Rattus norvegicus: one gene and its partner. Each later gene encodes a partner of the first gene's protein in a complex. Links are inferred from orthologs where the notes say so. Each region holds a gene or a part of one and is shown on either strand. Other genes may lie near its edges.

Region 1 (3,815 bases):
TTCATTTGTGGTGTAAGACAGAAGCTTTAACTCAGATTTAAATGACGAGGGGAAAGACAAGACAAAACAGAGGTAGAAAGGAAAATAATTGAGGATATTAAAGCCTTGGTGTATGCCACTCATACATAGGGGTGTGTGACAAATATACTCTTTGAACAGAAATGTCTATGTTAGGGAAAAAAACGATAAAACCATTTAGAACATACACTTCCTGTCTCCACAGCTCCAGAGCACTCCACTAACCTTTACATAAGCAATCACTCTCTATTCCCTCTTGTGTCCTGGCAACCACCAATCCGCGTTATGACTTCATAAATGTGCCTGTTCTGTATACATAAATAAAGCAATACAATTTGTGGGTGTCTGTGCTGTGCTTGGGTGTTCGTGTATGCTCATGTAGCAGCACGCACAGCACTTCATGCTTCCTTACAGTCCGGTCAAATGCTGTCCTGTTGTCTGGATAGGCCACTTTTTCTTTGCCATTCACTAGTTATTGACAGACATTCAGGATGTCTGTATTGTTTGGAAAGTGACAAGAGTATTGCTGTAAGCACTCATGTACATGGTTTTGTCTGAACTCCTGTTTTCAATTCTTTCCTATGTTCATTTGCAAGTGAAACTTAGCAGCACATGGCTAACTCTGCTTAATTCTGTGTTCAAAGCCCTGTTTTCTGTGAAAGCTGTTTTGGTTCTTATTCACACTGGAAATACACAAGGGTTCCGATTTTTCCTAATCCTCATCATCATCAATAAACTTTCTTTTTAAAAAGAAATACAGCAGTGTGGGTTGGAGAAATGGCTGAGCAATTAAGAGTACTAGCTGCTTTTCCAGAGAGCCTGGGTTCAATTCCAGCACCCACATGGCAGCTCACAACGATTTCTAACTTTAATCCCAGGGATCTGACACCCTGTCTTCTGCCTCTATAGGCAATGAATACACATGATACATGGAAATACATGCAGACAAAACCACCAGACACATAATTTTTTTTAATGATAGTTTTCCTAGTAGGTATGACGACCTCCCAATTGTGGTTTAGATTTCCATTTCCCTAATGACTAAAAATGCTTAAGAAAAGAAAACCACATCTGTTATTATAGTTCCTGAGGCTCAAAAGTATAAGCATAGCATAATATAGAAAATTTCCCTATTCAGTCTCACATAGGTTAAAATTTATGGCATCACAAGATACCATATTGTCACCTAAACCTTTGAGTCTTTTCCAAGCTCATTCAGGTGGGCTGGCAGAACTGAATTGCTTACAGTTGTAAGACTGAAACTTTCATAGATGCTCTTGAGCTGAGGGATAGGTCGTTCAATGGTAAATACAACAACAAGAAGCAAATACCCAGATGCTATCCATGGTTGTCACAAGCCTTTAACCCCATCACCCGGGAGGCAGAGACAGGAAGATCTACATACCCAGTTCTAGGACAGCCAGTGCTATATAGTAAGAACCTGCCTCAAGGGGCTGGGGATTTAGCTCAGTGGTAGAGCGCTTACCTAGGAAGCACAAGGCCCTGGGTTCGGTCCCCAGCTCCGGAAAAAAAAAAGAACCAAAAAAAAAAAAAAAAAAAAAAAAAAAGAACCTGCCTCAAAAAAACAAACAACAAAAACAAAAAGCAAAACACATCCCACCCCGCCCCAATTTAGCCAGGCACAGACAGTGGGACACACCTTTGATTCTAGAACATAGGAGGCACTGAGCTCCAGGCCAGCCAGGGCTACTTAATGAGACCCTGTCTTTAAAACAATTAAAAAAAAAAAAAATTTAGCTCAGTGGTAGAGCACTTGCCTAGGAAGCGCAAGGCCCTGGGTTCGGTCCCCAGCTCCGAAAAAAAGAACCCAAAAAAAAAAAAAAAAAAAAAAAAAAAATCACAGAAGAGATTATGTCATGTTTCTAAAAAAATTACAAATTCTTTCATAAGGATACTATCAACATGAGAACTGGTGAGAAGATTGAGAGAAAAGAAATTACAAACGCATTCATAAACACTGATCTAAAACTTCTGTCCATGTGGGTCCGGCAGTTAGAGAGGATAATACATAATGACCAAGCTGTGCCATAATGAAAACTCAATACTGGTTTACAAAGTAGGACCACTCAATAAAATTCATAAATAGCAGGCTATAAATGTGATACTGTGACTAAGAGTTGCAGAAAGGCATTTAATAATAAAATACATTTCCTAGTAATTAAAAAAAAAAGCAAAGTACTTGGTTAATTACAAAAGCAATCAACTCACTTAGCCCCAAAAGACATGTACAAGGAAATGAAAAAAACCACGATGACAACAACAATAACAAACAATAGACCATTATAAAAAAAACTTCTATATAAAAAACAAAAGCGTCAACAAACACATTATTATAAACACATCAGGCTGGCTCAACGATGAGTTTTAAAAATTCTATACATGTCTATTACACAAGCAATCTGAAGAAATACCATGTAAATGTCACTTAAGGAAGGACTAAAACTGTGGGAAACGGTTGGAAATAATGCTACCTGCCATTTCAACATAGTAAAAAATAAATAACAGTAAACACACGGAAGCAACTGAAGCTTCTAAGTACTCACAGAAGTTCAAACTAAAACCAAACCGAGAGACTGGTTTTCAGACTGGAAAATTTTTAACAGTCTGCTCTATCATGAAGTGATAACACACTGATGTTTACGAATTACAGACAAAATGGCAAGATAGACTCATACAGTTAGGTTGGCAAGTTCATGTCCATAAAGAGAAATGCAGGAGCTCCAGAACACAAGCCACCAAAATAATCAATAGATCCAAAAACGGATAATCGAATTATAGTACAATCAACAGTGCAAGCACCCACCTCTCTCTCCCTCTGAAAAAATAGTGTATAATTTGTCTGCTTAGCACCAAATACAATAGTGAATGGTGAGCGCCTTTTCTTTTCAAGGCTTTTGTAGAAACTTACTTCTTCCACCTGCCCATCTTCGGCTCCATCTTTCTCTTTATCTTCCTCTTCATCATCATCATAGTCTTCTTCTTCGTCTTCATCTTCCTCAGAAGATGTGTCCCCTGTTCCGTCAACTTGCAGCACCAATGGAGCCTGCTGCTGAGCAGGCTGGGCCTGTGGCTGCTGCTGTCCAGCTGCAGGGATCTGTGCTTGTGCTGGTGTGGGCGCTGCCACTGTCGTAGGAATGACCTGAGTCTTATTCCCTGTAAATAAGATTTGCTGTGGCTGGATGATGACACCGGTCTGTGGTGAAATCCCTCCAGGAAGTGGGGCTAGGACCTAGGGCAAACAAAACCACCTATTACAAACTGGTTACAGGGATCCAAAATCAAAATCAAACTAATAATAATTTAAACATGAGAAATGTGCTTGAAGGCATATCATCTTAACTCAGAATAAGGTTGTTCTTGACTGCTGTACACCTATTAACCTGTCCAGGAAAAGAGCGGGGAAGCACACAAAGTCATACAGCAGAGGCAGAAGCCAAAGAAAATGAATATCAAGGGGATGGTAGGTAAAACTGCATTACCTGCTGGATAACAGGCGCTTGTACTCCACCAGGCTGCATTTGTGGTATAACTTGTTGTTGTAGAACAACTGACTGCTGAGGCTGAAAGATATATTGGGCACCATTGGCTGCTCTGACTACCTGAAGCAGCTGGCCTATGGCAAAAAAGAATATAGTCCAAGTTACTAGTTAAGCAGCAATTAAAACACAAAGAAATTTATATTGCTTTCAAGCCAAAGAACCTACCAAGTTAGAAGAGTAAGCATTTTACAGAGGACTATCAACTATACGCCTTACACTCTATTACTGTTCCCAGTT
Region 2 (3,915 bases), on another chromosome or scaffold:
GGCAGAGTGTGGTACTCACCCAGTGTGGGGGGAGACTTACGATTTAATGATGTTCCCCAGAGTGTGGTCTTCTTTGTTGATGGTGAACAAGCAAGCGTTGGGCACCTTGGTGTCCTTGTTAATGGTGATTCTGGAAAGAGACAGAGGCAACAGCTCAAGCCCACATCCAGCCTTGGGATACTGGCCCTGAGCATCACAATGTCCCCATTTGTGCTCAGACATTCTTGAACCTGCAGTTGGGCTGTTCCCACTACCTCAGAAATTAAGGTACCTGGCCCTTCCCAACGTATGCGCTGACGAACAGTTCCCTTAAACTAGCTCTTGACTAAGTTCTTACTAAGAAGACAAGAACCAGCTGGCAGTGGTGGTGCCCACCTTTGATCCCAGCGTCTAGGAGGCAGAGGCAGGTGGGTCTCTGAGTCAGAGGCCAGCCTGGTCTACAGAGTGAGTTCCAGGACAGCCAGGGCTACACAGAGAACCCTGACTTGGGGGCAGGGGGTGTCAGGAGACACTTAACCCCTAACAATCAAGGCAGGCCCACATCCATCATTCTGCAAGTCCAAGCTCCACTAGACCCAGTGCTACTGGGAATTGAACCTTGGGTTTTGAGCATGATAGGCAGAGCCCTCAACCACTGAGCTATAGGTCTAGCTCTTGGAAGCCGTTTTCAGTCTGCTCACCCATTAAGGACCCTGCAAGAGCTCTGGCATGGTTCAATAGCCGACCATTTTCCTCCCATGTATAAGCCTCTGGGTCTCTCAGCTCTACCATTCCCAACATTCAAACAAAGTTGGCCTGCCTGGTAGATAAGACCAGTAATCCAGCAACCTGGGAGGCTAAGGCAGGAGGATAAAGAAAAACCTCAGCCGTCGTCCTGGCTTTTCTCTTTGCTTAGGCTAGGGTCTCATTTGCCATGGGGATAAACCATGCTAGCTGACCCTCCTGTAACCACTTCCCATGTCCTTGGAGGAACACTGGAAGCAGAACTCAGCAGTTTTTTTTTTTTGTTTGTTTTTTGTTTGGTTCTTTTTTTCGGAGCTGGGGACCGAACCCAGGGCCTTGCGCTTCCTAGGTAAGCGCTCTACCACTGAGCTAAATCCCCAACCCCGAACTCAGCAGTTTTTATACGACTTCTGGGGATCTACACACAAGTCCTCAGTAAATGTTTTACCCACTGAGCCATCTCCCGAACCGATCAAAAACTGTAAAATGGGGTTGGGGGTAGGGGGTGGAGCTGGAATATAGCTTAGCATAGAGCACCAACCTAGCATGGGGCAGACCCTATGTTCAATCCCCAAATGACAAAAGCAAACAAGAAAACACATCTGCCCTGTGCTGGCCTCCTATCTATACACCAGGGAGCAGTTACTTAAGCAGGTTTTGTTTTTGTTGGTTTTTTTTTTTTTGAGACGGCATTTCTCTGTGTGGCTCTGACTGTCCTGTAACTTTGATCTGTAGACCAGGCTGGCCTCGATCCTCTTGCCTCTGTCTCCCAAGTACTGGGATTAAAAGTGGGTTAAAATTCACCACTCAGGGGTTGGGGATTTAGCTCAGCGGTAGAGCACTTGCCTAGCAAGCGCAAGGTCCTGGGTTCGGTCCCCAGCTCCGAAAAAAAGAAAAAAAAAATTCACCACTCAGCTAAGGATTACTGCTTTTTTCTAAAGCAGAATTTTTCAAACTCAGTACACAAATATTTCTTTCCTTTGTCCACGCTCCTATAAGAGGACAGCCTGTGATCGTCAGCTCTCTCCTTGTACCATAGTGGTCCCAGGGTCATCAGGTCATCAGGTTTGCCTGTGGGCGCTGTACCCTAGCCATCCTGCCAGCCCGGGTCACAGGCATTTTGGACCCAATCCTCCTTTTCTGAGAGGCTGTCTACTACATCTAGGGTCGCTAACAGCATCTGTTGCCTCTACCCGCCGGCTGCCAATAGCAACCCACTCAGGACAACCAGAACCGCTTCCAGACATGGCCAAATGCTCATGCCGATGGGATAACAACAGGGCTCTCAGCTCTCAAGAAGGCTGAAGTAGCTATCAAATGTAAAACAAAAACCCCTGCATAGAAATCTCTTAGGGGGCAGGAGAGATGGCTCAGTGGTTAAGAGCACTGACTGCTCTTCCATGGGTCCTGAGTTCAATTCCCAGCAACCACAGGGTGGCTCACAATCATCTGTAATGGGATCTGTGCCCTCTTCTGGTGTGTCTGAAGAGAGCAACAGTGTACTCAGATAAAATAATTTAAAAAAAAAAAGTCTTTAGGGAATACAAAGTGTCAGTTACAGGTCTGCAGTGTACACTGTACACTGTTCAGACAAACTCGGAAAATCTCCTTGGGGAGTTTCATTATTTATTGATTGGCTGATACAGACATGAGGAGTGTAAGGAACTGTGTCTTTGTCCTTTCACAGCTGCCATCATGAGCCAAGTGTCTGGAGCAAGTCAATGTCCCAAAGCCTCAGTTTCCCACTGCAAAAAATGCATGCATTCGCAAATGCTTCGCACCACTGCCTGAAGTTGGGCAGACACGCACTGAGCAGAACAGAATGCTCAAAGCAAAGCCCGCCTCGGTTTCCCCAGGCAGGAGCAACTCGGCGCTTTGCTGAAGCTGACGGCCGGCAGGCTCCTATACAACCGTCCCCGCCTCAGCCGGTCTCCACTTACTTCTTCTCGCCCTCGAAGAGCAAGAACGACTCGAAGGCCGGAGGGGCGTTCATCCTAGCAAGGCGCTCTCACTCCCAGACACCAACCCGCAGCCGCCTTCCGCCCACAGAACCCCGGAGCGCGACCACTTCCGGGTTACTCAGCCTCAGCCTCAGCCATTCAGAGTAAGCACCTGGCCCTGCGCCCCCTGGCGGGCCGGATGACCTTACGCAGGCGCGGGCAAGGCCCAGGAGACTGCGAGCTGTGGGCATGCGTCAGTCTAGAAGCCCTGTCTGAGTGTCTTGGCGCATACTCCAGCGCCGGGACTTATACCACTTGTTACTGTCTCCGTTTCACCGACTGAATGGGAATAGGAGTCCCAGTGGCTGCCGCTGCAGGACCCCCGGGTGGGCCGACACTAGCGTCCTTATGAAGCCTTCTAGATGAGGACCAGGGGAACAGGAAGGTGTGTAAAGGTTGGGGAGGAGTTTGAGGATGCCAGTGCATCCTCTCTTGAGCACACAGATAAACTAAAAACACGATGAAAGCTTTGCACCTCGCCATTTTTCAGCAGTCTCTGTGGCAGTCTTTTTTATTTTTCCTGTTTTTAAAGATTTTTATTTGCATGTCTGTGTGGGCACGTATATGTAGGTCTAGCCTTTGGAGACCATAAGAGAGTGGGGTCCACTGGAGCATGAGTTACAGGTGGTTGTGAGCCCCACCACCACCAAGTGGGTGCTGGGAATCGAACTCCAGTCCCCTGCAGAAACAGTAAGGCTCTTAACTGCCGAGCCATTTCTCCAGCCTTCGTGATGGTTCATCTTGAAATTTAGAATTACCGCGGAAACAAACCTCTAGGAGGGGCCAGCAAGACAGTCCAGTGAGCAAGGGAGAGTGTGACCAAGCCTGATTACCTAAATTCAGTCCTCAGGACCCACGAGGTGGAAGTTGGGAACAGACTCCTCCAACCTCCCTTCAAGGCATGCACTTGAACACGTATGCACTCACAATGCATAATAATAATCGTAGTCATAATAATAACAACGAAAAAATAAAAAATAATAACAACGAACTTTTGGTTATGTCTTTGAGATTTTAGACAGGTTTGGCTGAGGAAGGCATCATTAATGTGTGTGGCATCACCCGAGAGGCTAAGGTGTCAGACTACAGCTTCCTGGCTGCAGACACAATCAGCTGCTATGAATCCTGTTGCTATGACATCTGCATTGTGATGAGCTGTACCTTTCCGTAAGATGCTTCTGTCCGTTTGTTG

What was found.
Region 2: Gtf2a1 (region 1) and Polr2j share a complex: the UniProt entries of both Homo sapiens proteins name them as parts of the TBP-based Pol II pre-initiation complex. The link is inferred for Rattus norvegicus from reciprocal best matches to the Homo sapiens genes GTF2A1 and POLR2J.

The regions. Positions count from the first base shown.
Region 1 is NC_086024.1:116,228,218-116,232,032, forward strand, and holds part of Gtf2a1 (transcription initiation factor IIA subunit 1), read right to left. Parts: intron 3,653-3,815; coding exon 3,519-3,652; intron 3,269-3,518; coding exon 2,948-3,268; intron 1-2,947. UniProt on the Homo sapiens protein: TFIIA is a component of the transcription machinery of RNA polymerase II and plays an important role in transcriptional activation. TFIIA in a complex with TBP mediates transcriptional activity.
Region 2 is NC_086030.1:26,182,434-26,186,348, forward strand, and holds the start of Polr2j (DNA-directed RNA polymerase II subunit RPB11-a), read right to left. Parts: upstream 2,769-3,915; 5' UTR 2,717-2,768; coding exon 2,664-2,716; intron 131-2,663; coding exon 41-130; intron 1-40. UniProt on the Homo sapiens protein: Core component of RNA polymerase II (Pol II), a DNA-dependent RNA polymerase which synthesizes mRNA precursors and many functional non-coding RNAs using the four ribonucleoside triphosphates as substrates.